Linked DNA regions of Struthio camelus. The protein of the gene in region 3 interacts with the protein of the main gene of each other region in a biochemical or structural test. Links are inferred from orthologs where the notes say so. Each region holds a gene or a part of one and is shown on either strand. Other genes may lie near its edges.

Region 1 (6,848 bases), on a different chromosome or scaffold from region 3:
CCGACTAAGTCAGTCACTGGAGCGGGGGCGAGAGGAAGAAAACAAAAACACGCCGCTATCCCAGAGAGCCTCCTTTTGAAGGTAATCTCCTTTGCGTGCGTTTAGTCAGTCACCGAAGCGGCAAGCGGGCGCATCAGGCAGCCGAAGGCACTCAGCGCCTCACCAAAGCGCGAGCCGGCGGTGGCGTTACAGGGCCAACATGGCGCCGCTGCCGCCTCCGAGGGCCCGGCGAGGACGGGATGGCCGTGCCCGGGGACCCCAGAGCACTCTGGTGGGCACGCACCTCGCGCGGCCTCTGCAGAGCCATCTGGCACCTTGCTGAAGGCTCGGCCAGGTTACCTGAGGTCTTGGGGTGCACCTGAAATCCGGCAGCCAGGCTTTTACCAGCCTGTTCGCCCGCCCGCCTCCTTCGTGGTGTGGCTCAGGTCTAGGCTGAGGTGCTCCTCAACCCAACGGGGGGGGCAAGAAAGCCGCTGAGGAAACGCCACAATCGACTGTTTCACTGATCTCTCACGGGGATTAGATAAGGATTAGAAACCTCCCAAACGACCCCAGCTCAGCTGTGAATTAGGGAGCTTTTTCCTGGTGTTTGGCCTTGTGAAAGAAAAGCTATCTGTGGGAAGGCTTAATTTGGAGCAGGTCTGTTTTCGCAGAATAAATAAATAAAATAAGGGCCCCTCATCGGCTGCGGGGGGGGGGGGGTGGGGGGTGGGGGAAGGGGGAGGAGGAAGGCGCTTTGCTGAATAAGCGCGTCAGGAACAGAAACTTCAGAGTCCTCTAAGCGGGGCTTTTAAAGCAAAACCGAGTACCCCCGTTCCTGTAAACTCGACAAAACGCATTTCATTAGCGGCCGAGCGCAGGCATGCCCTCCTGGGCAGGAGTCTGCCCCCGACGCTCCTCCTCCTCCTCCTCCTCCTCCTGCCCGGCCCCTTTTCCTCCCCCGTCCCGCGGCCGCTCGCCGCCCGGCACGGCCGCACGCGCGGGCCGCGCACGTTAACGGCCGCCATCGCCGCGCGCGCCCAACCGCCCCCCGCCGCCAACCGCCAACGGCCCCCGCCCGCGCCCAACCGCCGCCGCGGCCCCCCCCCCTGCCCACCTACCTTCGTGGTGGAAGCTGCGGACGGTGTTGGCGCGGCTGGCGGCCCTCTCGAGCGGGTAGCCGAGGGCGGGCGGCTGCCCCAGCTGCTGGCCCGCGTGCAGGCGGTAGAGGTCCAGCATGTAGGGGGGGATGACGACGTCCTTGCCGGGGCTGGGCCGCCGCTTGAGCCCGAACATGTGGAGCAGGCGCAGCTCGAACTCGCTGAGCAGGTCCTCGGGGCGCTGCGCCGCCGAGGCGGCCCGGCCCGGCTCGCTGAAGCGCCGCCGGCCCACCTCCGGCATGAGGCCGGCCGCGCCGCCCAGCAGCACCTGGCAGAGCAGCAGCGCCAGGAGGCAGCGGGTGGCGGCAACCATGATCAACCTGCGCGGAGGAGGAGGAGGAGGCGATGGGAGCCGGTGGCGCCGCGCGGGCACGGCCCGCAGGTGGCTCCCACCGCGGATCCCCCCGCTTTGCGGCCGCGGCGCGGACCCCGACCCCCCCTCCCCCCCGCCGCCGCCGCCGCCGGCCCCGTCAGGCGGCGCGGGGCAGGCAGGTTTCAGGTGCTCGGAGGGAGCGCGCGGCGGAGAAAGGCACGAAAATCCCCATGGCAGGAGATCAAAGGGAGCGAGGCGGGACGGGACGGGACGGGACGGGGCGGGGGGAGCGGGGCGATCCGCCACCAAAGCGGGCCGAGCTGAGGGCAGGAGGAGGCGGCCGCTGTCAGCGCGGCCGCCGCGGCACAGGTGTGCGCCCGGCTCGGCTCGGCCCGGCCCGGCCCGTCCGTCCCGTCCCGTCCGCTGCCGCCGCGCTCTGCCCGCGCCGCTCCCGGCCCGGCCCGGCCCGCCGCCCCTGCCCGCGCCGCTTCCCCGGCTCCGCGGCGGGGCAGAGGCTTCCCCGCGCGCAGAGAGAGGCAGAGGTGTTTTCTCTCGGCGGAGTGGAAGAAGGAGGGGGGGGGGGGAAGAGGGAAATCCTGCTACGTCCTTAGCCAAACCCACAGGATATTCTTCTCCCCCGTGAAACTCTGCGCTGGATTATTATTACTGTTATGACTAGTGTCCCGTCCCCCCTCTCTCTTCCAGAGCGCTAGCACCTCCGCCGTGGCCCACGGAGTCATCCTGCGGAGAAGGCTTGCAGCGGATCTGCGACCGCCGGGGTTATACCTGTGTGCAGCAGCGGGGGTTGTGTCTGCAGGAGGGTGTTCTGCTCTCGGGGTGTTTTTCCCGCATCACTTGGTGTTACTCCAAACTTCGCTGCTGCTCCTCTACAGCTGCCGAGCAGAAAATAGAAGTTCCCTGAAGTACGGTCCGCCTCAGAAACATACTTTTAGCAGCTGGCTTGGGAGGCAGAAGGCAAGTCCCAGCCAGGGAAGGGCTTCTCCCTTTTAAAAGCAGCGATCAGAAAGTTGTTGCTTCTTCTTCTTCCTCCTCCTCCTCCTCGCGTGTGTGTGCGTGTGCCTGCCCGTGAATGGGTGCCTATGTGTCTATGGAGTTAAAAGGCTCCTTTTAAAAAATGTCCTTTGCATCATCAGCATCAGACAGATGGACATTTACTGAGACTCCCGCAGCAACATTTAAGATGAAGCTTGACTTTTCTCCGCTGCCTTAAAAAGAAAGAAGAAAGGAGGAGGAAGGGGGGGAGGGAAAAGGAAAGGGAGGAAGGGAAGAAAAAAAAAAAAAAGGGTGGGGAGTAGTTTGTTCGCGGCTCGCGTGGAGCGGCGGCGGCGGCAGCGCTACGGGGACCGCTCTGTGTGCACACTCCGCGCGCCGTGCAGGCGTGCCCGGCTCCCGCCCCTGCACCGCACCATTGACGGAGGTGGCCGGGCGCCGCCGCCGGGGCTTTTTGTTGCGCGCCGATGTCACGACCCCGGAGGCTCGCGGGCCCGCGCCAATCACAGCCGCCCTGTGGGAGCGGGCTGCGGCCCCGCACGGCTTTTAAAGGAGACGCCGCCTCCCGCCCGCCCTCCCTCCCTCCTGCCCGCCCTCCTCTCCCCCCCCCAGCCCGCCCGGGGCTCGGCTCGGCTCGGCGCGGGGCGCCCGGCCCGGCCCGGCCCGTTAGGCTGCGGCGCGGGCTGGTCTCGCCTCGCCTGGCCGGCAGCGGCTCCGCGCCCTGCGACGCCGGTGCCGCCGCCCCGGGCCGCGCAGCCGAGCGCGCTCCCGGCAGGTGCCGCCGGGGCCCCGCGCCCACGGGCGGCCGCGCCGCCGCCGGCCCGACGTTTCCGCGCGGCGCGGCCGCCCGCGGAGCGCCGGAGCGCGGGGTCCGCGCCGCCCCGCCCCGCGCCGCCCCGCGCCGCGCGGAGGTGCGGCGGCTCCCGCGGCCTCGCCCTCCCTCGGGGCTGCCGGGGCCGTGCGCGGCCGCCGCCGCCGGCGCCGGGTGTTTGAGATGCGGCTGGTGCCCTCCAGTGGCGGAAACGCGCCGGAGCTGCGCCGGGCCGCGGCCGTCCCCGCCGGCCGCCGCCTCCCGCCCCCTCGGGCACCTGCGGCCGGGCCGGACCGCGGCACCCGGCCCCGGCCGCGGCGGGAGGGGCGCAGCCGCCGCCCGGCGGGGTCCGGCCCCGCGCGCAGCCGGCGGCGCCCGCGGCCGGCGCGGACAAGTCACTTCGCCGCCGGGCGCCGGAGCAAAGCGCGGGCGGCGGCGCGTCCCGCGGGGCTCCGCGGCGGGGCCGGGCCCTTCGCCTCCCCGCCCGGGCAGCGAGCGAGCGAGCGAGCGAGCGAGGGTCCTGGGAGCTGCGGCCGCCAGCGCACCGACCCCAGCCGGGGGACCCGGCGGCAGCGCCGCGCCTCCTGCTCGGATACCTCTCGGGGGCTTCATTTGCAAAAGACACAGACAGCCTTTGACACGTTGAATTACTGTGCGGAGGAGGATTTAAAGCAATAACAACTGAGCTCCATTACCAGCTCCTCCTTTGGGAGCGGCCTTTTCCCTCCATCTTAGGGCTTTTCAGCAGAGGAAAACTACCAGTCTGAGGCAACAATTCAGCACAGTTAGAGTGCAGCAATTCCTCATGTGCACCCTCTTATTTTGGCTTTCCTATCTCCTTAGATTGACTTAAGCTATACTGGCAAAACGTCACTCCTGGAAGGAAATGTTAACAAGGAGAGTTACATACCAGTGTAGCAAAACCACTTTAGAACTACACCAATATAATTAAAGAGCTGGTAAAGCTTCTTTCTCCATGCAGACAAGTCCCAGGACTTGTTAACCTCCGATTTTCGCTCGCTGCCGTGCCCAGGGCCACAGGCAGGAGATGTGACACAGACCAAAATGAAATCCTTCAAAAGTTTAGTAACTTTTCTGTTGCATTCCATTTCAGATAATGTTTAATTTTATGACTTCCTGCAACTCTTTAGCATGAACTTAAAGTGCATGCAGTGTGACTTCAGGGTATGCCAATTATGTAAATCAGCACTAAAATAACAATGGCAATGTAGTTTACACATCACTGACATTAAATGAGCACTTCAACTTCTAATTGCCATTCCAGTTCAATCTGTAGTGGGTCATGCCAGGAAAAAGTCATTTCTTGCCTCAACACTTACTCCCTGTGCCTGGAGCATAGGTTGTACTGTATGCCCAGCTTCGCTTTATCTCCAGGAGGTTTCTATATTAGGATGATGGACCTTATAAGGGAGAAGTATCTTTATGGTTGTTCCAAAGGCCTGGATATATTCTGATCTGATATCAAGAGGGTCTTGTAGGTTTGCCTCCTCTCCGCCTGTCAGTTCACACAGTCTTCCGTTCTCTTGGTCATAAAAAACTAATGCTTCACACAGGAAAACATGTTTCCTCTCCTAGTTTTTCATCTCTCTAGTCTATTCAGATTGAGAGCACCCGGGGTAGCGGCTCTGTCTTACCATTTGTTTGCACAAGGTCCCAAGTGAAGACAGGAAGGGCTCATAGCGTGTCCCCGCATGCACTGGCATCCCCTACCAGAACCTCAAAAACACGCATCCCAGCACCTTCCCCGCTCTGCTTGGCGCACATGCAGATTTCTCACCAGAATGCATACAATTTCTTTTCAACCAAAGCCTCCATCCACAAGCGCCCTAGTGAATAAGCTTCTGAAAGTGTCGTTCCCCTTTTCCCTCAAAAGACGTTTGTGTTAGAAGTGAACCCTTGAGCGAGCAGGGTGGCGCTGCAGAAGGCTTTTATGCAGAGATAGCCACAGCAGATCTGTCACGTGAAACAGGTCAGGCATGCAAGACTTTGTATATCTTGTCACTTTGCGTCCATAGGTCACATGCTGATCGGAGGTGAACCCGCAGGCAGGAAGCTATCGCGCTGCAAAGGCAGGAGGGTAGTCCCAAGAGTCCTTCAGCGTGATGCCCTGCTTCCAGTGTTCACAATAGCTTCTGTACACCCCTAAACTGAAGAGCTCATTCATAAAACTGGCTGTTTGCAGGTGCCTCCTTTTACAAGGAAAGTCTTTGGGTCAGTCGTCCTGGCCGTGAGCTCTGTGTAACTGCACTGCGTCTGCCATTAAGGCCCAGTTACGGTTTGTGTCTCATCAACATGACAATTGACTCATTATCCACCTGGAGAACCATCCCACTATCTCTGAACACTGCATTCAGACCTGCTACCGTAACTTCCGTAGCGTCAGCACTCCTGAGGTCATAATATGAGAAGCAGCAATGCTACAAACAGCCTTAGAGACGGGTGCATTTAGGTTTAAGAAATGAAACATTTGGTTTGTGAAGTGGAAACATGCCAGGAAGTGCCCACCCAGATTTCTAGTTCCCAGACTGAGCTTTCACGGCAGACATAACACCCTTCTGCCTTTCCCACCCTTATAGCTGTACGGCAATGAACCTGAGACAATGCTCCTGGAGACAAATGAGCTGTATTTCGTGATGCTGTAATTCCACATAGGCTCAGTGAAATCAAGGGAGTAAAGTGATACATCAGCTGAAGATCCACCCCCATCAGAGTGGAGTCCCACCGCGCCATTTAGTTTTACAGTTTTTCAGATCAAGCCTGAACTTCAATTACATTCCTGATAGAGAAACCACCAGTTATACTGAAAAGATCTGGTACAGACATTAGGTTTTAGGAAACCTGACCATGCATATTCGTTAATCTCCTTTGTGAAACTTCATTCATATCCCTACTTCTGAACCTTGTATCATTGATTGGACTGATTAATTTCTTTCTTCTTTCTTTCCCGCACTTGCTTTTTTATTCTTTTTTTTTTTTTTATAGCCATTGAGTATTCAGTTAGAGGCACCTGCTTCTAAGGTTTCACACCCAGGTGTTCCTTTGCAGGAGTCCAAATACAGCTGATGGATCTCAACTTTAGGTATTGCTGGGTTTTCTTAATACATGGTAGAAAAGTTTCCAAATGAGGATAAGTTTTACAACACAGTGAGAGCCCTTTTTTCACGACTAGAGGGAGAAAGAAGAAAACAATTTTCTACAGCATATTCCTCTTACAAATACTCTATCAAATCACTCTTATATGCTGCCACTATGTAGTCTCTTTTCTCCAGCTGGTTAAATTGTGACTGTCTTTATCGATGGCTACGGGCAGAAGACTTCAGCTGAAAGATCTACATGAGAAATGTTCACCAGTGTCTCTAACTAGTGACGAATGACATAATTTCTGGTATAGTTAGAGGTACAAGCCTCCAGAAACATTATCGTCACTTCATGCACATTGATAGTAAACAGTTTTACCATTGACTTCAACAGACTAGTGAGACCTATACTGAGCGTTTTTGAAAATTCCCACTTTAGACCTCTGTCCCCCGATATGTATTAAGGATTTGATGTA
Region 2 (7,071 bases), on a different chromosome or scaffold from region 3:
ATCTCCTACCTTCAGTACTGAAGCTCCTCACGATATTGGATGCAGGGATGGAAGACTTGTCTGCAGCATATCTGTTGTATAAATCAATCATGAACTGTGGTGGTTCTTCTTTGGTCTTCTCTTGTGAAGGGACCCTTGATAAATTCAAACTCCTTAGTAAATCTGTCTTCATATTCTCCAGGAAAGATTTAAAGTCGAAATGGGTCTCATCTTCCACTTCCCCAGGATCATGAAAGTGTGCATCAGACTTTTCCATAGCTGGTAACTTGTCCCAATCTTTCAAAGGCTTGCCTCTTGTCAAACAGGCAATGATGTTGAAAACAGACAGTGCAGCCAGTACCCCAAAATAGTGCATTTCTTCTGTATTTACTTTCTGATGAAGAGACAAGAGGACAATGAAATTGTAGGTGATTAAAACTCTTGTTTCATTACAGACAGAGGGAGGTAGATAGAAGGCAAAAAACTGGTGCACCCTTTGCAAATCACTTTCTTGAATTCTTTTTGCAGTCTGCTTCAAACCCCAGCCTCTTGTCAGTTGTCAAGCAGATTGGTTGTACACTTGCCCTTATCTGAGTCATTGATGCCATGCTTCAGCTTCTGTTATCTAGCAAAGCTCTTAGTTAATGAAGATTCTATAAACATCTGACAAACACATATGGCTGGTGGGAAAGACATTGTATATTGTAAAGAATTCACATTTCACTTTGGGGTCATCATTGCTTAATTACACTCCTTTACCATTTCCTTGCCAACCCAGGGAGAAGCTTTCTTAGGGACGTGGAGGATTACACTGTTTTCATCAAGACTAGAAAATCGAGGTTCAGAACAAAATTAGTCTATCAGCTGTTAGTGAATAACACCTCACAAATCTCTGTTACAGTCCCTTCACCTACCATTGCAAAATCCCCAACCATTTGATGGAGACCTGTGATTCAGCAAGACGTGATCTCACAACAATACAAACAACCTTAAAATTTCTCTCCGTTTATCAGCAAAGAGCTATTATTTGTACACAGTGAAATATCTGTTTTGTGTCAAGTTTGCTTCATGTTGTTTGCAGGCTTGTCCATTTGCAGTTTGATTCCTTTGGTGGATGGGAAGTACAGCCAAATCCACATTGTGTATGTGCTAGGAGATTAGAATGGTATTATGAGCTCTTACGTTACAAAAATACCTCGTTGCAAAGATACAGAAAAGATTTTGTCCTGTCTCAGCACTCGTCCATTCTTCTCCAGTTTTCCAGGAGTGCATACAGAGTGCTTAAAGTGAGCCCATGCTACTGAAATACTCCTGTGTCTGTTCAGGTGACAACTGGGATCCCAGATTCTGGTTAACTATGTTTCTATGGTGTAAGGTTAGAAGGGCTATTTGGCATTGATCCTAATCTCCTGAATAGCAAGATTGTTATATTTCTCTCAAGGACTTTGTATTTCCTACCTCTACCAAAGTAATTTCCTACCAATTACTTTTGTTTGGCTAAAGCATAACTTTTGTAAAGGTCTCTAGGATTTATGTGCAGGTGTTGCAAAAATGGAAGATTTCTTCACATTTCTTGGCACTTATTCTAGAAGATTTTCACTGTCACTTAGAAAAAATGGTGCTTCACTTACTATTTCACTGTGCCTGGCTTCACCTTCTAGGCACTAGTTCTTGTAACTTTTCTGCCAGCTTAAGGAGCTCCATAGTGCTGGCATTTTCTCCCTATCAGAGTACTTGTACCCGATAATCAAGTTGCTTCTCCGTTTGCTTTCCGATAAGATAAAGAGATTGTATTTTTTAAGTCATGTGCTATAAGACATTTTCTCTGTTTTTCTTGCTGTTTTTGTGTCTCTTCTAGAGTTTCAGTATTTTTTTGAAAAGGTGAGCTCTAGGGCTATACATAGTTTTCTAGTGACACTCCACCAGTGCCACGTGTAGAAATGAAATCTCCATTCCTTCTGTGGTTTACTACTCTACTGTTTATCTTTTCAATGCCTTCATTAACTCTCTTTATATAGCATCACCCTGGAGTCTCATATTGTGCTGTAAGTCCAAAATACCCACCCAAATTGTTTAAAGAATTATGGCTTTCAAGGGCATAGTCTCCTGTTCGGTAGGAACAGCCTCCATTCCGTGTGCCTAGGTACCACGCTCTGCATTTGTCTACCTTAAAATGAATTTTGATTAACTAGAATGCAGCCTGATCAAGTGCTCTATACAAATACCTCTCTCCTAAACAGTGTCTTCTGCAAATACTATTTGGGTTATTATATATTGACTTCCAGTTCATATATGAAGCTGTCAAATAGTCTCAGGCCAACTGTCATCTTTGCAGAAACTCTTCAGTGAGCAGCTTTATTCGGTGACAGTTCCCTTTTGAAAGCTGCTCTTTGACATTTGGCAGTGAGACAGTTCTTAATTCATGTGATACACAAATATATGAATATTGTCCAGTGATCTGGATTTTAATTATGCTCCCTTGTACAGCTGGGTCAAAATATTCCACAAAAACCTGAGTACATTCTAGCTATTGCAGTTACCTCTAGCAATTAAACTGGGACCTCTAAGAATTAAAGAGATTTTGTGTTAGAAAAACAGTTTTCCATAATACTTTGCTGGTTAGTATCAGCTGTTTTCCTGTTTTTTCCGTCTTTAATCATCCCATATTAATATACCCTCAATTCTTTTAGGATTATTTAGTGGAATTTTTCTGACTTGTTAATTAAGTGTTTGTCCATAGTAACTTTACCTAGTAACTTGCACATTGAGTGGAACGGTTTATAGGATGCTCCTAGGAATCAGAAGAGCTGTTAGAAGAATATCACTGTCTTGCAACTGCATTTGTGCCATTTTAAAAACAATTAAATGAATTAAATGCGAAGGTTCCTTCTGTAAAGGCACAGATTAGACATCTAAATATCAAAGCCCCAGGAAGTAATAGCCACTTCTAAACAAATAGTGGTTAAGGCCTTGCCCACATCAAAGGATTGACCAGTACAGCTAAACCAGAAAACCTACCTAGTAACAAACATGAGAGTTTATTTTGCTTCTCTAAATTACATTGTTTCTCCAGATAAAATAAACGTTGCAAATAAGAGAATTGTCTTGCTTGTGTAATAGGGGAAGCTGGAATAGCTATGCCACTTATGGGTATAATTTTACTTTCCCCATGCTAAATGACATAGTTATGCCAACAATACTTTTAAATGCGGACTACACCTTTAGGGGTTTTATAGGTTCCCTATTGTGTGTAGGAGCAGCGTTTTCCCTTACATCCTATAGGCCTTATAACAGATCAGGGGATGGTATCTCTCTTTCCTAACCGCTTGCCTCAGCACATCTTGGAAAGCAACGATATACTCAAGGAGTAGTTCGGAATTTAAAAAAAGATTCCCTAAAGAAAACAAAATGCAATAGACCGGACTATTACACTAGGCTAATTCTATTCAGAGCTGATGTTAAATGGAAGGAAAACTATCCTGCAGAAAAGGTAAATATTCACAGGGACAGAAATGACAATGGTTTAAAATTAAGAAAGTTTTATACTTATGGGTGTACCCTAGGAATAAATGATGAATTTCTGAGAACTTTTTAACTTATGCATTAGTATTAACTCTTTCAGCCTTAGTTTACTCTGTAACTATGAAAAGAACTCAAGACCTTGCAAGGGAGATCTTTAATAGCAGCAGTACACAAAGCTCTGTCCCAGTAGTTCCTTTGCAAATCACTAGTGATTTGGGAGAAGAAGAAATGCCTACCTGGATCTATGCCCTTTCTTTCCTTTCTCTAACTGGCAGTTACTACAAGGTGCCTCAGAGCTATCTACTTATTGAGAGGTGTTTAGGAGGAAGTATGAAGAACTGTGGACAGAGTGGCTGTGCAGACAGATAAGTCCGTACACACTGAATCTTGATTTTAAGTGATTTAGCAAGAAGTGCCACATTTACACACCTCTGCTGGCTGGGAATCTTTACCACATAAAAATGGAATATCGGTGGCAGAAGTTACCTAGGGCCTTAGCAGGACAGGAGCCTTCACAATGAAGTCATTCACATCAGAAGGTAGTGTGTATAGTATCGTTCTCCTAAGCAACACAAATTTAATCGGGCAAGATAGTGCAAAAGGTTAGACTGCCCCTTGAGGGGTAAACTCTCCGCATCTTGCACTTTGTCCTGCCTCACAGACTTCAGTAGTTTGTTCTGCTCCTAGTTGTCTTATGCTATTGTACAACAGGTTAATGAAAACGGAAGAGAGCATGGTCAGTTTGTCCTGGCATGCGATAACACCGAGAAAGATAAATAACAGTCACAGTAACGGAACGCGAGCTCTTAGGAGAGCGCTGTAGTTAAGAGCGCTATCAAGGTTGTATCAAGAGAGGATTATACATGAGATGGAGGGAAGCAGATTTATTTCCATTTCTATAAATGGAACCACTGCCGAATATTGTGCCCCGTTATGATGTTCATTATTGGGAAAAAAAGAGTTAAAGTTTTGGAACGAGTTCAGAAAAGAGCCATGAGGAATTATTTTGAGGCTTGGAATAGTAAGAAATCAAAGTACCTATTAATTCTTTGCCAAGATGTAATCTGAGCCTGCTGTATATATTAAAAATACGCAGAGAAAGTATTTTGAATATTAGACAAAAGGGACCTAATAGCAATAGGTTAGAGTAAGATCAAGTGAATTGAAGCTAAAGCTCAACAAATTCAGGCTAGGAGTAAGCCGCTACATTTTAACAAAGATGACTAACTATTAGAATGACTACTTGTAGTCCAGTAGAGATATTCTGTCACTTGAAATCTTTAAAGGCAAATGTATGCCTTTTTTTCAAAGATATTCCCAAGCTCAAAACAGAGGTTTCAGCCATGATGCAGAAACTACTGGGCAAGGCTCTTTGATCTGTGCTGTGTGGGAGGTCAGTCTAGATGAGCAAAATATTCCCTTCTGGCTTTAATCTATTGATGTTCATTATGACAAGCTTAACATGCATTTACATGTTTCCATCTAATTAACAGAATGTAACCAAGTGGATTATAGAAAGACATTTCAACTATATTTAGATACTACTGTACCTTTAATTTATTAGCTTTTGTTAAAAGCATGTAACAATCTAGAGGATATAAAGTATAATTTACAAAAATATAAATCTTAGTTATTTTGTTTTTAGTATTTCAACATATTACTATATAGTATGTGTTACTCAGAGAATATATGTTTAACAACCTGAAATCATCCAGCAAACCAAGAGTGTGGGATATTACATGTGTCTTTTGTAGAACAAATTATATATTAGGGAAGGGTAACCGAAAATGGTTATATTAACATACTGTATATGTAAAAGCTTATACAGTACACTACACTTGAATCTTGAAGAAAATATACATATTAAGCCCTTTATTACAGCATTTTCAGTATAAATATACAGATTAAGAGTATGAGTGTTTTAGGCAAAAAGTTTTGATTTGTGTACACAAATGGTATTCTAGAATAAGCCTGCCTTTGCAAGTTCACTTCCCATCTTCTTGGTTAACTGAGGAGATAAAATAGAAAAATAGCATATAAAAACATATTTTAGTCCTTTGATTATGGAAAACTTTACGTTTAAATTTCTGCACTATATACCATGTTTCTCAGCTAGATGGGTTAAGAAGAAATTGTAGAGTATTGATTTCCTGGAAGGTGAATCACTGTTAATTTTGTAAGACAAATGACGATATTAAGACATATCCTTCCAGGTGAGCAGGTGTGCTGCTTTAGTCTCTCTGCATGCTGTCTGTAGAAGTTGTAGGCTTGCATCTGCTCATTAACAACAGTGGATTTATTTCCCATTCACAACTTTCTCAGTGTAGTCGGGCAGGATATTTAGGTCTTGTTAAAGATGTGTTTGCATGAACTTATCGGCAGGCACAGGTGTCAACTGACATGTTGGGATATACCTTTAAAACCACGTTTTTGTTCTCATCTAAGAAGAGGACACTGAGTGAGTTCATTTTGTCAGGAACGCAGCAGGGCTCTGGAATGCCGGGAATGATGCCCACTGCTTTTACGATGCTCTGGATTGTAGCATGGTTTGATGGCCGGACAATCTGCAACATAGAAGGAAGTAGTTATTGCTTCATCTATGAGAAGTCACTTTCCCAAATAGGCTTGGAAAATGACAACATTATGATTTTTTGTTTCTCAAAAAAGTGAATATACTTGTATGAGCCACAGGGCTGCGCAACACAGTCAGTCCCTCCCATTTCCAGCTTGCCTGCCCAGGAGGCATCTATCAGATATTTTGTACTCTTTGTGCTGCCTTCGTAAATACCAGAGGAGGGCACTGGTGGCATAGCCAGCATTCAGTAGCCTAGAAAAACCGAGGAGAGTGTCCATGACTGCACTTATTAAACTCTGGAGGCAGGCATGCAGGAGAAAATGGCTAAGGTGGGGCGTGCTTCTCCATCGTACAGTGTTATCTCTTGTCTTCTCACCCTCTGACTGGGAAAATTGTTCATTGTAATTCTTTCCAAAATAACTATTCATGTAGTCCAGGAGTAATTCTTCTCATGTTCACTAACCTAGAATTAGTTACTTTTTCCTGGAATAACCACTGTATATTAAAAGAGTAATTCTAATGTAGCAGGGCTTCTGGAACAGTGTCCACAGGGGGGAGTTACCCTAAAATTATCAAGCAACCTCACAGACCCGTTCTCATCATACCTCCATGACAAATGTGTAGTTTGTCTGCTTCCCTCTGCCTTTCTTGCTGGGCTTTTTTTTTTTTTTTTTTAAGTTCTAACAAGCCTCACAGTGGGAGAAGAAAACAAAAAGCTGGGAGGGCAGGAGGCATATAAAGTGAGAGCTCACAACAGCTTAACAGCTGTTACTGTTCAGAATACTGAGCCACCTTCTTCTGCCATTGATTTTTGTATGCAGTAGAACAACACAAGGAAAAATATTTGAGAAGAGGACAGAATGGAGATTTTTAGGTATAAGAACATTGAGAATAAGAAAAGGAGTGTTAAGATTATATAAATAGTATATGCTATTTAATAGTTAAATGGTAGTCCTATATTTTTAGCATTTATTCAAAAGCTACACTTGACCCTT
Region 3 (7,337 bases):
ACAAAACTTCTAGTCTGGCACAGGATGATGTCAAAGACTGCAGTAACTCTGCTGCAGTATGGTCCGCTCTGCAGCGGGTTACACAGCAGCAGGGCAGAGCTGGAAAAATCCAGGCCTGAAGACACTTAGGAGTTTGTACTCACAAATGTTTTCTTTTTTTGAAGGCTGGATAGTTGCTGCTCTTTTCTGTGTTTCAGAGACAAAGGGGGAAGAAAAAAAAAAAAAAAAGACATAATAGTCTTCAGACGGGCTTTTTTGAGTCCAAAGGCCAAAAGTAACGTCTGGCACAGATTATCTGACTGGACTAAAGGGGAAACGAGTTCCCTCCGAGGCAGGAATTCAGTCTGCCGTTTCCTTAAAGCTGTGGGTCGGCTGGCGAGAGCGAGAGCCTGCTCTGCCACGTGCTGCCGCCACCGGAGGCTTGATGGGTTTATCTCCCATCTTGGCAGGACAGACAGGGCTGTCGCTGGTGGTGCTTTTCCTTCCTGTGAAGAAAACCGGAAAGTTTCCCTCACAAAGGATTTTTCCAAGGTTTTGGGCGGTCGTTTCCCCCGTGGGCTGCGATGCCCCCATCCCGGCTATTTGCCGCCTTGGTGTCCCTCTTTGGAGGAGTCGGTTTCCTCAAGGCGAAGCCGAGCCCCGGAAAGGGGATGGAAACCAACCCCCTCCGTTCAGACCAGGTGACGGTGGCGCTGGAAAATCTGTCCGCCCTAGAGAAAGGCACTTCTGGATCCAGATCACTCCTGAAGTCCCCGGGGTGTTCACTATTTCTCCTTTAATGACGGTCTTCCCATAGCCACCCTCGTTTTTGTGACCTTTCACTCCCGGGGGAATAATGGGGGCGTCTCGGTGCGACACCCCGGATTTGAAGCCGATGGGAAAAATCTGTGTGAAATAGGTAGCCCGATACCTACAATGGCAACAGCGTCTGTGTGTGATTACTTGTTTAGCTGCAATGGCTGAAGCTTTTCGCTGCTAACTCAGCAGACTGCAAGGAGCAGACAGTATTGTCTTTTTGGCTTGTTCTGGCTGCAGTTCAGGATGTTAATAATAATCTGGAGAGCTATGTAAGCCTGGGATGGCAGCTATCGGCAAGCCCCTCTCTCTCGATGCGCTGCTGCAGGAGGTGAGATCAGGGAAGATGATCTTGCTGACAGGTTCCTAATTTAGCAATGAGTGGCAGGCGTTTGCAGCGGAGACCCACACCAAATCCATTATTTATGAAGATACTGCCTGGGGTCCAGGATGGGAGTATTTATTTGTAGGAAAGTCTGTGAACATCTTGATTGTTATTGTTTTAAGGTTTGTTTATGCATCACCGTCAACGCTATGGGGATGCTTTGTTTTTAAAGAAACAAAAAATCTCTTAAAAACAAAGCACCGGGCAGTGTTGTTGTCCTCTCTCCCCAGCATTTATGACAGCATTGAGAGAAACACCCTGGGCAGGCTGATGGGCAGCCAAGTAAAATTTATAACTTATTTTAAAGAGATTTGTTGACATCATGAAAGGCCTTGTCAAAAAGAGCACTCCCCCGAGTCCTAACAACGATAATGGCTGTATGGCGTCAGCACTGAAATACTCTTGGATAACAGCGAACCTATCCCGAGAAATATTTGCAATGTTCCTGAAAATTGTGTTTTCTAAAAAGGAATAGGGCAGGTTGTTTTGGTTTTCTTAATGCTTTGATTTTATTTTCCACTGATTGGAATATTCACTTGGAAGCACAAAAGTAAGATTTTCTATATGCTGGGTAATTAAAAAAAAAAAGTGTTGTTTAAAGGAGACACTGCTAACAAGGACACGTGTAATTACTGTCATGTACAATCTTGAATTTGCAAGTGATACCAATATGTTTGCATGTGCATCGGTATGACAGCAGGAAATATCTGAGGTATACATCCGCCTTATTTCCCACTTCAGCGTCTCACTCGAGCATGGAAGCAGCGTAAAGGGCAGCTCCAGTAAACTGGATGCGGCCGTGTCATTTAAAGCTCCCTCGCCCCGGGGCAAGACAGACGTGCCCTGCAGCGGAGGTGGTGCACATCAGCCTGACATCTCAGGGAGCTCGCAAACGCGGTAGCCTGGCGCCGGCGTCTCTGCCCTCCTCGTGCCCTGCCTTGAACGCGCGCCCTCGTCCTGCCTGCTTGCGAGCACCGCGGATGATAGCTGCGAAAGGGTAAGGCCTGTTCTCCTATCCCTATTTTTTTTTTTTACAGTCTTTTCAAATTAAGTTCAATCTTGTTGTTTCACGGGGCTAAGTTCTTCCTGGTGGAAATACAGTGCTTCAGCAGAGCATCTTCCTTTGAAATCTTGGTAAGTTTTAGGAGGTTTTCTTGGCCTTCTCTCTCCTATCCTTGTTTGGACCAACGCTGAATATTTAAGTTGCTGCAGCTTGGTAAGTTTTCATTATTCTAAGTATTTTTCTGTCGGTCTCATTTGGCATCGCTGCACATTAGGCTAATGAAATGCTAGCATACAGTTAAAACAATATCAAAGAAAGAATGGTAAATATGCCTTTGTCCAAGCAGATAGCAATAAGTGAGCCTGGGAATGACAGTTTAGGTCTCTGGTTTCCTCCCACCACTGTGGGAAAAGGAAGCTGCCTCTGTGCTTAGACAGCAGCAACTGCTTCCTGCGTCTGCGTGGCAAAAGGGGCGTTGGTGCATCCTGGGGCCGGAGAACCGGGGCTTCGGCAGCCCCACGGCTCCGGCGCCCACGCTGCACAGGAAGGCACCTGGCCCCGGGCAGGGGCAACGTCTTCCAAAAACTCCTCAGGGTTAGGTAGGGAAGGAGGCAAAAGCCTTGCAAGGTGCTGGGGACGTGGGTCCAGGAGATCAGACCAAGGCCCTCACCCAGGTGAGGGCTCAAGCTCAAGCGAAGCAGATCCACAGCTGCGGTGAGGTCTTTTGCAGGCCCATGCATCTTCTGGGTCAGGGCCTGTGTTTGTCTGAAGCTGTGAGGAAATTACTGTATTAAAATTGGCCTAAGCCTTGTTTCTTCTTTACAGAGAAACAAAACACAACAAAAACCCAATCCGCTCTCTGGAGAGAAAAAAAGAAAAGTAAGTATTTTAAGGCATAAAACTATTTTATGTGATTCCTTGTGAAGAAGTGCCAATATTAATTAACGGTCCAAAACTACAGCTATTAAAACCAGAGGGAATTTTGTCTTTACTTCAGGATGAGCCAGTTTCAATACATGTCATAAACAATTACTGTAATTTTCTTTTAACCATCCAAACAGTGAAAGTGCTGCGTAACCCGCCTGGTTACGTTCTTGTTTTCCACGAACAGAGTCGATCTGGCTGCTTTCACGGGCGGAAAGCGCGTTGCACAGTTAGGTGTCTGCACCAAACTAAACGCTGGATTTTCCGCCCCGCGGAAAATACTCCCGTGTCGGTGTGCTGTCCTCTCTCGGGGGCAAAACCTGTTGTTTGGCTGGTTTCTAAAGGTTATTTCTTGACAGTTCACGTTCCCCACACAAGAGGAAGGATATGGTGGTTAGCATGTGGTTACAATTCTGGCGAGTGGCAATACCAGTTACCATCTAGGATTCCCTCTGTCATCCTCCCCCATCCCCCCCCCCCCAAATATCCACGGTAAATCTGCATGGATTAGGAGTAAAAACAGGGTGACCAGCTCTTAAAAATCGCGGGTAGCTGTCAGCCGCGCGACCTTCAGCTCCGACGTTAGCAAGGTCAGGCCACGCCGCGTCCGGCCGGTGTAGCACAGGTCGTGCTAGGCTTGATTTTAATTATTCTGTTAATGATTCTGCTGCGAAGGCGAGCACCAGGCCTCAAAAAGCAGCAACGCAGCGTAACAACATGGAGGCGCGGGCGGGGCGCTGCGGGGCCTTTCTCTACCTGCCCGGAGGCCTACCTCTATGGTCGGCGCGAAAGGGGGGGGCGGGGGCGGGGCCCGGGCGGTGCGCGGCGCGGCCGTTGGGGAGGGGGCGGGGCCGGGGCGGGGCGCCCGCGGGCCGGGCGCCGAGACTGGCAGTTGGAGCGACTCCCCTTTGTGTCTGGTGCGGGAGCCGTTGGGGCCGTTGGGGCGGGAGGGGGCGCGAGCCGCGGCGGGGGCCGCGCGGCGCAGCGGAGGCGGCGGCGGCGGCGCCCTCCCCGGGGCTGGGAAGGAAGGAGGCGGCGCGGAGCTGCCCCTCGCCGGCGGTGGCAGCGCGGAGAGCCGCGGGGAGGAGGAGGAGGGAGCTCGCGCCTCGCTCGCCGCTGGAGCCGCCGAGGAGCGGCCTCGCCGCCGTCGGGGCGGCCGCGGGGGCAGGGGCGCGCGGCCGAGCCCGCAGATGGGCCGCGGTGCCGCCGCGGCCCTCGCCGTCAGCGCGGCCGCCTCCCGCCTGGCCGCGCAGCGCCTCGGCGCGTCTCTCCTTCCCCAGGCGCGGAGCGGAGGGAGGAAGGAAGAGCGAGACCTTTAACTGGGCGGGATGCCCCTCTGCCTCGAGCCGTTGGAGCTTGCTGGCGGCGTCCTGAGGCGAGCGTGAGGCGGCTGCTAGAACTGACGGTCGTTAGACGTTTCCCCGCGCCTGGATATGTTCGCTCCTACACCCGGCTGTTTCTTTGATATCGTGAAGCTGCGTGGGAAATAAGCTCGGTTCCCAGAGCGAATCGCGAGAATCGCCCCTTCCCTGGGAGAAGGGAAATGCCTTTGGGCTTGCAGGCAGAAACGGGCTTTCCCCCCGTTCCCCAGAAGAAGCGTTGCCGCTTCCCGAGACATGAAGGCAGCCTGGTGTAATGGAGTAAGAGCAGCAGCGGCCCCTCTCCTCTGCCGTTTGCCCTTCCAGACTGGATTGTAAACCGGGAGAGTTCAGCAAGGCTGTTTGAAAAAAGAGAGAGAGAGGAGAAAAAAAAAAGAGGAAATTCCTCTTGTCGTTTTTATTCTGTTATTTTTCCTCCTTCTGCCTCGGCCCTTGGCTTCCCCAGGTATGACTGCCTCACTGCAGCACCTTTTGCTGGTGCTCCTGCTCTCCAGTGCCACCCTGCTGCTCAGCACTGCGGCTGGTAAGTAGCCGGGGGGGGGGTACTGAACTAGCCATTTTGGCACGGGGAAGGGGGTGGGGTCCGCCGGCATTTGCACCCGTCTGGGTCTGCTGAAGGAGCGGCGTGCATGCATGCATGCATGTCAGCCGCCGAGCCCGAGGAAAGTTCCTCAATCCCGATACCTTAACCGTCTTTGAAAATAAAATCTGCTTTATTGTGTAAACGAGCTCGACCTGCGTTCGAGATGTGTGTTTTGTCTGGATCCGCTTCCCTTGTCTGATAACTTGCTTCAATTTTGGAAAAAAATATATAATCTTTTTGTTTTGCATACCTAGCCCTTTGTAAGGTAAAGCAGGGATTTTTAATATATATTTTAATCGGCAGCGGAGCTGTGCCTGTTTTGCTGTGGGATCTTTTGGGCACAGCCATTTTTAATTTTATCAGCATCGCTGCTTTTAGGGGCCTTAAACATGTGCTGCAGTTTTATGACAGACTTACTAGGACACATTTCTTTTCTTGGGGGAGAAGTTTGAAACAAAAACGTGGCGATTTCTATTGTCATTTGTGATTACGGAATAGTAACAAAAACGCTGTTGAAGAATACTGAAAGATCTTCAAGTCAGTGTTCTTTTTTAACAGTGACTTAGAGGCGTGTGTTCTAAGAGCATCCTTATGCTTATTTGGGGGCGTTTAGGTCCGCTTTTGATGTTGCTTGGAGGCTCAGTGTTAGATACATAGGATATTTGAACATGATATTGGAAGAGAGATCAGTATTGCACTGGCATCCTTTGGTTTTCTGTCATGGTGACTGATGAGCACGTAGGAGCTTTCTGAGTGTTACCAGCTTTGTTAGGCGCTAGGACTGATTCTTCTCAGTGTATATGTTTTCAGCAGTTCTGGAAGACTCTTAGGATTTTGGCATCTTTTAATAATCAGGAGCTAATTTTGAATGCCCACTCTTGTCAGCATTGTTTTTGCAATCTGATGTGCCTAGTTCATAGATGAATCCTTATGGGAAAATTGCTATATCTTGCTAAGGTGACCTAATAAGATGATGGTAGTTTCTGTATTACATTCTAGTGATTTGTTTTAATTGAATTATTATCAGTGTTGAAAATACTCGGTGTCATTATTTGGAAAAGCCTGTCCATTAGACATGTTTAGGTAGTTTCTTTATTGCTCTGACAGTCCCTGATTTCCTCACTTCTGCTTTTTTTAAGAAGTCTCTTTGGGGAAGATATTAAAATGAAATGATTGACTTTGCCTACATCAGCCTGACCTTTGACTGTTGATATTTTAGACTGATACCTGCTCTATCTGTCTGTGATAATTTCTTCAGAGTTTTTTTTTTTTGGGGGGGGGGGCGTTTTTTGAAAAAGGGACTTTTGAAGGTCGAAAGCCTTTGTATTAAAGTGTGGATGAGTCAAGAACGCCAAGTATCTAACCTTTTCTCTTAAATATAATTTTTAAAAAGCGTGGGCTTTTTTTCAGTTTGGAAAAACTTCAGTGAATTGGTAATTCCTTTATTCTGATGAGGGAGAAGGGCTACTGAAGGAGAGGCAGTGCCGATTTGAACCAGGCCAAGGGCTGGGCAGGTGCAGTACGAGCTCAGTTGGACGGTTTTGCCCGTTCACCTCAATCCTGACCTGTCAACAGCATTCCTATTATTTCAGTTCTGGTTTTGTTTTGTAAAAAGAGTATTAATGATGCCAGCTTGTTTAGTTGTCTTGTGAACAGAAACCGGTTTTCCCATTGTGATTTATTTCTTAATTGTGAAATTGTAACAATCTGTGTTATAAAGCCTGGGTCATAATCCTCTGTAAGAGTAATTATATGAATGATTTGAGCTTTACTTACAGTCAACCATTAGTAACTTTAAGTTTATACTACATTTCAGAAACAAATGGCTATACATGGGGAAGCTACACTAATGTGTAATTCTGCCCTTTTATGTTCATGAAAGAGCCAACACTATTTCTTCTCTTCCCCACCCCTCCCCCTGAAGTATGAACTGTATACTCACATCACGGTGAAAATGCTGGCTTTATAGCTTTGAAAACCTCGGTTAACTGCTACTTCTCATTAGTGACTAGATCCTGTGTCTCAGCACTATATAAAATTGAGTGTTGATAAACGCAAAGAGGGAAAGTACTTGCATAGATTGGTAAATTTCCGTCTCAGGAAGAACGCTGAGACATCCTTGAGGTAGCTCACCAAAGCCCTGCACTCAAAATATGGTCAGGAAAGGAAGGCTGCTGAAGTGCATGAAGAAAGAAAATCATGTAGTGGGGCTGTTGATGACTGTTTCGCTCATAATCTGGAGCATGAATGAAGATGGGATGTGGTTCT
Region 4 (7,856 bases), on a different chromosome or scaffold from region 3:
AAGTGGCAGGACCAAGCTCTTCACAGGAGAAGGCTCGGGAAAGCCTAGAGGCTCTGGCAATTGTTAATTGTCATATGTGTTTTTTCCTACACTTTTTTTTTTTAAATACAACTGAAAATAATTAATGGTTTCAAGACAAAGAGGAAAGAAATGATATTTTCCTGGACATAAATTATCACGGCCTCACAGGAGAGCTAAATAAACAAAATCTACCATGCACGGCTGTAGAAGTGAGTGCACCCAGGCTTGTCTGTGGGAGAAGCAAACAACACCGAGGTCTGTTTCTCCCAGAGCCCCTTCTCTCCCAGGGGCTGCTGTTTACACAGGGCATGTTCGCATAACTCAGCATTGCTCAGAAAGTGTGAGATTTGGCTGCATCAAGTTACTCACCTGTGCTGAGGCACAAGCATAAAGAAAGTGCAATTCTGCAAAGTTGCTAAGAGGAACAGATATTTAACTCTGCTATACAGATCTACTCTGCTATCGATTGCCAGTCAGCCCATCATCATGGAATACAGCCACCAGGGATAATTACTCATATAACTCATTTTCTTCCTAAAGAGCATGCATTTTACATTTCTCTATGTCTGAACAATTGCCCCATCCTCTGAGGAAAAGGGGTGTTACTGTTCTGCACTTCCGTCTGGCCACCATAAACTGCCTTGATCATCTCAAAGTGAATGATCCTGCGTGAGGTTTGCAACCCAGAGGAACCATAGCTCTGCTTTTCAAATTGCCCACTAGAGCACCTAACATCAGCATCACCACGGCTTCTCTGGCTTCTCCGTGTCGGGGCCCTGAGGGCACTAATGGGCCTTAATGGCCCTGACCAGCCTGACTTGGGGCCTCCCCCCACCTGTGCTCATGGGTCCAGGAGCACATTTAGCTCAGCTTGGGGTCTTCAGTCCCAGCCTGAGTTACGTCATCAGGGATCAAATCATTCTAAATAGAAGAGCGCCTACAATGCTCCTTATGCTGCTGAGCTGAGCACTGAAGCAGTCGTGATGCCCATAGTAGGCAGCTGGAAGAAGATGCTCAGATGATAGTGCTCAGGTCTAGGGATGTATCTCCCAGGAATGCCTTCTACAGCCACTTTCCCAGAAAGCTCTCTGTTTACAGAACACACATGAGAAACTGCTTCTTAGAACAATCCCATTTTGATAACTTTAGAAAGGCAATCAAAATTATAGAAAAACAATCACAGATGCAGTTTCCCAGACTTGCACATATACCATTCACAACTTGCTCTGACATTAGGCTTGAGTTTCTCAGAAGTAATCACCGATGTCCCAGGTTTCTATTTTTCATTGCTCAGTTTGGGGCCTGACTTTCAAAGAACAAAGAACTTCCTGAAAATCAGTTCCTGACATTATCGGCTAGTTGTTAATTAGGGATGCAGGTGCCTACACGAGGCATCCAATTTGAACATTTTTACTTCCCCACACTAAGCTATCGACTTCCTCCTCGCTAATCAGCTGCCTAATACAGAGAACTAACATGATAATCAGCCAGTAGTTAAAAGTAGTTCCCAAAATGAAAATAAAACTTAGGAAATGATTTTCCGGCAAGTGCAATGAAAGTACGCCTGCCTCTTATGCAGACGAGATTTATTTTATTTTTTCGTGGGCAAGATGAGTTCTGAAAGAGCAACTCTTACTAAAATCGCATTGGCATTTAAGTGACGTTTTGGCAAAACACCATGGAAACATTTGGTCACATCCTCTCAACCCTTAATTTCTTCCTTAAATGTGCTTTTTAATATGTCACAGTTGTTAAATTTGTAACAATAATTCCCTTGAGACTAAACAACAGTGCTTGGTATGTGAAAAATGAACAATACATTTACATCAGTAAACCAAGAGGAAATTTTAAATAAACGTCTAATTGAGCACAAATAGTCCAAATGTTACTTTTATGAAATTTGACCATTCTGTAGGCTGATTTTAGCAGCAGGATGTTCTAAATAAACTCAACTAAAACATATGCTGTCATACTCTTTTTCAGTTGTGACATAACTAACCAGATTCACTTCTGATTGCTTTATTGCTACTAGACAAACATTGCTGTACTGAAAGCCAAATAAGCAGCACTTAAATTAATTTGAAAACTTTCATTTTTAAAATGACCATCGAAATCCTAGGAACAAATCTGGTAAGGTAATTGGCACTTTCAGATTTTTTTGATTGGAGGGAAGAAGACTCAAGATTTGTATACAAAAAGACTCATATAAATTCCTGTTAAATCTAGTATGGAATTTGACTGCACAAACATTGGGTAAAATCAATGCCCTAGGAGCAAGGGGCTGGTCTGGGTAGGAACAACACAAAGCTGGTGTGTTCCCGGGTATAACAGCCTGCATACGTTCAGCAATCAACGCTTCTGTTCGTGCTGTCCCAACTTTACTAATACTGCATTATATAAATCTTCAGGACAAGTAATTAACAACTTTTTTATTTGTTGTGTAAAGCATTGAGGACATTGCAGGGTCCTGTGTAAATGCTAAAACTGCTATTAACCTGTGTATTTCTTAGCCAATATAAACAGCTTTCAGTATGCCTGCATCTCCCAACAGGGCTCAGGCCTGTAGTCTTGCTCATTTTAATGAGATTTCACCTTTCCTTACAGAGCGTTCAGTGTGTATTTTGGTGGCAGCAGCACCACTCAGAATAGGCTCTGATCCATTTGCTTTTTTCTTTACTTTTCTTTTAATAAAATCAACCCATTTTGGATTCTGGTTTCTAGGGCAGAAATCCCATAGTGCTTTTAGTCTTGAACATTTATTCAGACCTCCTTTTGGCTTCATTACAAGCCCAAACAGCAGTACAATTTAACAGACACATCACTGCACTGAGATTCAGAAGTTCAGTGATGAGCTTTGCTGCTAACCATTGCCACCTGCTTTACCTCTCAGTGCTCTTGCTCCTTTCCTGCTCTGTGCCCGCCTTCTCTATAGGCTGTAGGCTTCTCAATGCAAACACCATCTTCCTGGAGAAGGATCTCTTCTGGGACTCTCAAACATTCCTATTATAGAAAATAAGAACACAGAGATAGTCCTTCTCTTTCGGTTTTACTAATAAACACAGCTATTTCAGCCATGATGGATCAGATGGGCTCTCCACTTTTTTTATCTCCAATTACTTATCTGCTCACGTTCTTCCCTGCTGAACAGCATAAACCTTCCCTGCCTCCTTAACCTGCTGCTCTATATTATTGACCAAGACTACGTTCAGAGAATGTTACTACAGTTGCAAAGTCAATCATTCCAGACTTAGAAAACATGCAGATCAAGACTGCCTATGCCTTGAGTCCGTGGACTACAGGCAATGATGCACAAGCCTTCTCTCTACTCTCAGCCCACTTTTTTTCTCCATCAGCTTTAGGCATTCTCCACTACAGATGATACTTGATTCCTGAGCATCTATTCATTATTTTATTCTCCTTACTCTTTCACATGTTGTGAAGTTCTTCCAGCATAGCTGGCTTCATGTTGCACTTTCTAGATTTCTGAATAAGCACACTGAAAAAACAAAATATCCAGCACATTGATAACATACAGTTAATGAGCAGAGAAGTATTCTGTCACCTGCATACCTCATCCCTTTGAGCAAACAGAGCACTGACTCCCACAGCTGCTTGCCATCCTCTCTGCAGAACAGCAGTACAGGCTTGGAAAAGACATATTTCACTTTCAGAGGTCAGAGGAATTCAGATATATTTGCTGACAGTGATGGGATGGTGTGCCCCTGGCTCCAGGTTTCATTCCAGCTTGGAGACAAATGGCTGCTGTTGTCCCAAAGCCTGACTGGTTCAACATATCCTTTTCAAATTCATCTTGCTTGAGATCCACCTCTAGATTTCGTGCCAGCACTGGTCTCCTCCCAGGGTCATCTCTTTGAGGTCTCAATTTCACACCCAGTCTCACTTCTCTTCATAAAACTTTGTCTGCATTTTGCCTGGCCAGCTAGTCCCCACTCTATTTATATATCTCTCCCATAAACATTGGTTCTCTAGCCCTGCTTCCCCCTCTACATTCAACCTTCTCTACTTCCCTTCTCTGCCATGGACAACGCTTTCAGTCCAATGCATTCCTGCTTTTATTACCCTCATCCAGTTTCTTGTCTCCACCTCTTTGCGTCCTTTCTCAGCCAACAGGGTCCATCTTGTTACCCCTACCCAGACTCAGTTTCCTGTGGCTTTTTAGTCTCCACCTCTCCTGCTCACCCCACTGCCTCACACATAATCTTGGAAGACTGCTTGCTCCCATCTTCTCCTTCCCCCATCCTTTCTGCTATCTCTGGTCTTCTCTGAACAAGTCATAGATTCCTCCTCTACATTTTCTGACTTTTGATGTGGCAAGAAACAAGGGCATAGAAGGAATAAGCTCTAAAGCCAGCTTCCAGTTCCTTCCTAGAGCAGCCATCTCTACAGTCCTGCTCTCAGACCCCTTCAGGCACCATGGCGGGAGGCTGTGGCAACAGCCTGTGCAGCAGTAACATTTGGGGCAGGCTAACCCCTTGAGGATTTCAGCTAAATCTCCACTGATCACATATAAACTGAGAATTTTCAGTCTTGTGATTTGCCCAGGTGCAGGCAGATTTTCATTGGTACAGCAAAAATACCATGTCCTTGGAAGCAGCAGCACATATACACCATGAAGAAACGATGTAAAAAAAGCTTTTTGCATGTCAGTCTTCTGAATGAAATTCTTGTACTCAGTCACCAAAAGAGTATCTGCTGCTTCTGGACAGATGTTTTTAAGGCACTTGATTCATTAATTGCACTACACCTGATAAGTTTCTGGGACAGTACCAAAAATAACTGTATTCTCCACTCAGACATATTTTGGGTGGTGTCATATGACGATGCGGGGAAGGGAGACTATGCAGCCACATAGCCCTCAAAGCTCACAGTTCTCAGAGTTAAACTACAACAAATGTCAGTCAAAGTCCTTCTAGCTGAAGCTGGCAAAGTTATCAAGAGAGCTTCATACTACGATTCGTATAAACCCACCTAATTTTTGCTCACATCATCTCTGCTGGCCATGTACACCATGTCTTCGATTTATTTCTGTGAATGCAATAAAAGGCAGTATATCCTTCAAGCAAAGCAGCATTTTTCATGAGTGGAGGGCGACAAAGATGATTAGGGGACTGGAGCATCTCTCCTAGGAGGAAAGGCTGCGAGAGCTGGGCCTCTTCCACCTGGGCAAGAGAAGGCTCAGGGGGGAACTCATCAACGGGTAGAAGTACCTGAAGGGAGGGTGGCAGGAGGATGGGGCCAGACTCTTCTCACAGGTGCCCAGCAACAGGACAAGAGGCAACGGGCAGAAACTGAAACACAGGAAGTTCCATCTAAACCTGAGGAAAAACTTCTTTCCTGAGAGGGTGACAGAGCCCTGGAGCAGGTTGCCCAGAGAGGTTGTAGAGTCTCCTTCCTTGGAGATATGCAAAAGTCGCCTGGATGTGATCCTGGGAAATATGCTCTAGAGGACCCTGCTTGAACAGGGAGGTTGGACTAGATGATCTCCAGAGGTCCCTTCCAACCTAAACCATTCTGTCATTCTGTGATTTCCAATATTCCATAATTACATGACAGCTAATAGCCTAATCAGATTTTGCCTAATTTCCCCAGACAGAAATACACCAGCCCCTTTTCCTCACTTTACCTGTTCACAAGACAGTGGATAACATCTCTAGAAAATAATGCATCAAAAGAAATCCAGCTGCAAGAGCCCAGCCCAACAGCTATGCAGGTAGCAAATTCCCCCAGGAGTCAGTTAGACAATGCTAGTGCTCATTAAGGCTGGGTGGGACAGCAGAAATGGGAATACACATTTCCCTTCATTCATCAAACTGGAACAAGAATGAGGGTTCAGAAAAAAAACAAGCACTTTGCAGAGTCAATGACTGGGGACAAATCAGGAGAAAAAGAGACTTTGATCATTAAAACTGCAAAGAATGAAGCTTAAAAAAAAGTTGTTACATAAAGAGGATTCTTTAGTTACAAGAATGTTTGATCCGATTCACAGTTAAGGATGTGCACCCATTTTAAACGGAAAATCCTTTAGCTTTGGTATGAATTTATCTAGCCTGCCAGACAAATTGCTCATATCAAACTGTCATTTGGATGTTCAGCCATTGAAAACATAGTTAAAGCATGTCCCTTAATTAGAAATCCCATGGAAATGAAAACAATCCTCTCTGGCATCTCGTTCCCCTGGATGGTAACTTGGACTTATCATCTGGCACGGCCCCCTTCCTGTTTGCGTGGGTGGACCCAGGCAGACGTGGAATTCTGCTCCCCTTCCAGCCGCCCTAGGAGACAGGCAACTTCCCATGCCAAGGTTTTGTCTCCTGCAAGCGGCTCACTACAAACAGATCCAGTAGATGCAATGAGCTTCTCCAATTAGAGGTGCATGGTATAGTCGTCTGCTGCCCATTAGGGACCAAGAGAAGCTTAGCACAATATTGTAAAGGATAAACAGATTTTAAATCTGTTTCATTTTGCCAGATAGGAGTCTCTTTGATCAGACTGCACTCTTTTCCAGAAAATTGTAAGAGATAATCTTCAGTTATCTGCTAGTAAAAACAATAAAGCTCAGTCATTGCCTATTCCTATTGGGAGGACTAGGTAATTCGGCAGGATCAGTCTTTCTAGCTCTATTCATTTTATCACCGGTCTTGCATTATTAAATGTTTTGTTCAAAGCCTCATTTCCCAACAGCTTGTTATTATATAAGAATTCCAGGCTCATTAAAAATTAAAAAAGATCTCAAAACTTCACAGTTATGAAGACATTTTTAAAAGATTAATCCCAAAGTTTAAAAAGTAAAAGGTGCATTTTTAGCAGGGAAGAGAGTTAACCACTGGAATAAGCTGTTTTGGGATATGGTAAATTCTTTCTCATTTGAAGTCTGTAAGTCAAGATGGGATAACTTCCTCTTCTACCAGGTAGAGTCTGACATGTAAGCTTTTGACATGTAAGCAGGAATGACACAGTGAAATTCTCTGGCTCATGTTTCACTGATGAGATTAGAGAGGTACAATCACTCCTTGAGACCTTGAAGACTATTAACTGACTGGGAAGGGAACCCAAACTGTGCTGGTTTCATGCTGATGAAGACAAATTCATGAGCTTTGAGTGTTATGCTCCGGCAGTGTAGATACATTGCATTTGATTTGTTTGAAAACCCTCATCCTCATAGGGAGGCTCAGGAAGGCTGGGCTGGATGAGTGGACGGTGAGGTGGATTGAGAACTGGCTGGATGACAGAGCTCAGAGGGTTGTGGTCAGTGGCGCAAAGTCTAGTTGGAGGCCTGTAGCTAGTGATGTCCCCCCAGGGATCAGTACTGGGTCCAGTCTTCTTCAATGTATTCCTCAGTGACCTGACCGAAGGGACAGAGCGCACTCTCTGCGCAGCAAGTTTGCTGACCGTACAAAACTAGGAGGAGTGGCTGATACCCCAGAGGGCTGTGCTGCCATTGAGAGGGACCTGGACAGGCTGGAGAGGTGGGCGGAGAGGAACCTCATGAAGTTCGACAAAGGCAAGTGCAGGGTCCTGCACCTGGGCAGGAATAACCCCACGCACCAGGACAGGCTGGGGGTTGACCTGCTGGAGAGCAGCTCTGCCGAGAAGGACCTGGGAGTCCTGGCGGACGACAAGGTGACCACGAGCCAGCAAGGTGCCCTCGTGGCCCAGAAGGCCAATGGTCTCCTGGGGTGCATCAGGCAGAGCGTTGCCAGCAGGTGGAGGGAGGGGATCCTGCCCCTCTCCTCAGCCCTGCTGAGGCCTCACCTGGACTACTGGGTCCACTTCTGGGCTCCCCTGTACAAGGGAGACATGGAGAGACTGGAGCG

What was found.
Region 1: the proteins of BMPR2 (region 3) and BMP2 form a complex in vitro, tested with the Homo sapiens proteins (4 studies listed by BioGRID and IntAct, with this or other methods). The link is inferred for Struthio camelus from reciprocal best matches to the Homo sapiens genes BMPR2 and BMP2.
Region 2: the proteins of BMPR2 (region 3) and GDF2 form a complex in vitro, tested with the Homo sapiens proteins (2 studies listed by BioGRID). The link is inferred for Struthio camelus from reciprocal best matches to the Homo sapiens genes BMPR2 and GDF2.
Region 4: the proteins of BMPR2 (region 3) and BMP4 form a complex in vitro, tested with the Homo sapiens proteins (2 studies listed by BioGRID). The link is inferred for Struthio camelus from reciprocal best matches to the Homo sapiens genes BMPR2 and BMP4.

The regions. Positions count from the first base shown.
Region 1 is NC_090944.1:130,843,586-130,850,433, forward strand, and holds the start of BMP2 (bone morphogenetic protein 2), read right to left. Parts: upstream 3,001-6,848; 5' UTR 2,239-3,000; intron 1,460-2,238; 5' UTR 1,453-1,459; coding exon 1,101-1,452; intron 1-1,100. UniProt on the Homo sapiens protein: Growth factor of the TGF-beta superfamily that plays essential roles in many developmental processes, including cardiogenesis, neurogenesis, and osteogenesis. Induces cartilage and bone formation.
Region 2 is NC_090948.1:22,144,485-22,151,555, reverse strand, and holds the start of GDF2 (growth/differentiation factor 2), read right to left. Parts: upstream 3,008-7,071; 5' UTR 356-3,007; coding exon 10-355; intron 1-9. Other genes in the region: GDF10 (growth/differentiation factor 10), read right to left, coding at 5,874-6,065. UniProt on the Homo sapiens protein: Potent circulating inhibitor of angiogenesis. Signals through the type I activin receptor ACVRL1 but not other Alks. Signaling through SMAD1 in endothelial cells requires TGF-beta coreceptor endoglin/ENG.
Region 3 is NC_090947.1:9,922,768-9,930,104, reverse strand, and holds the start of BMPR2 (bone morphogenetic protein receptor type-2), read left to right. Parts: upstream 1-4,327; 5' UTR 4,328-4,933; coding exon 4,934-5,009; intron 5,010-7,337. UniProt on the Homo sapiens protein: On ligand binding, forms a receptor complex consisting of two type II and two type I transmembrane serine/threonine kinases.
Region 4 is NC_090946.1:79,892,411-79,900,266, reverse strand, and holds the start of BMP4 (bone morphogenetic protein 4), read right to left. Parts: upstream 3,019-7,856; 5' UTR 2,982-3,018; coding exon 2,905-2,981; intron 1-2,904.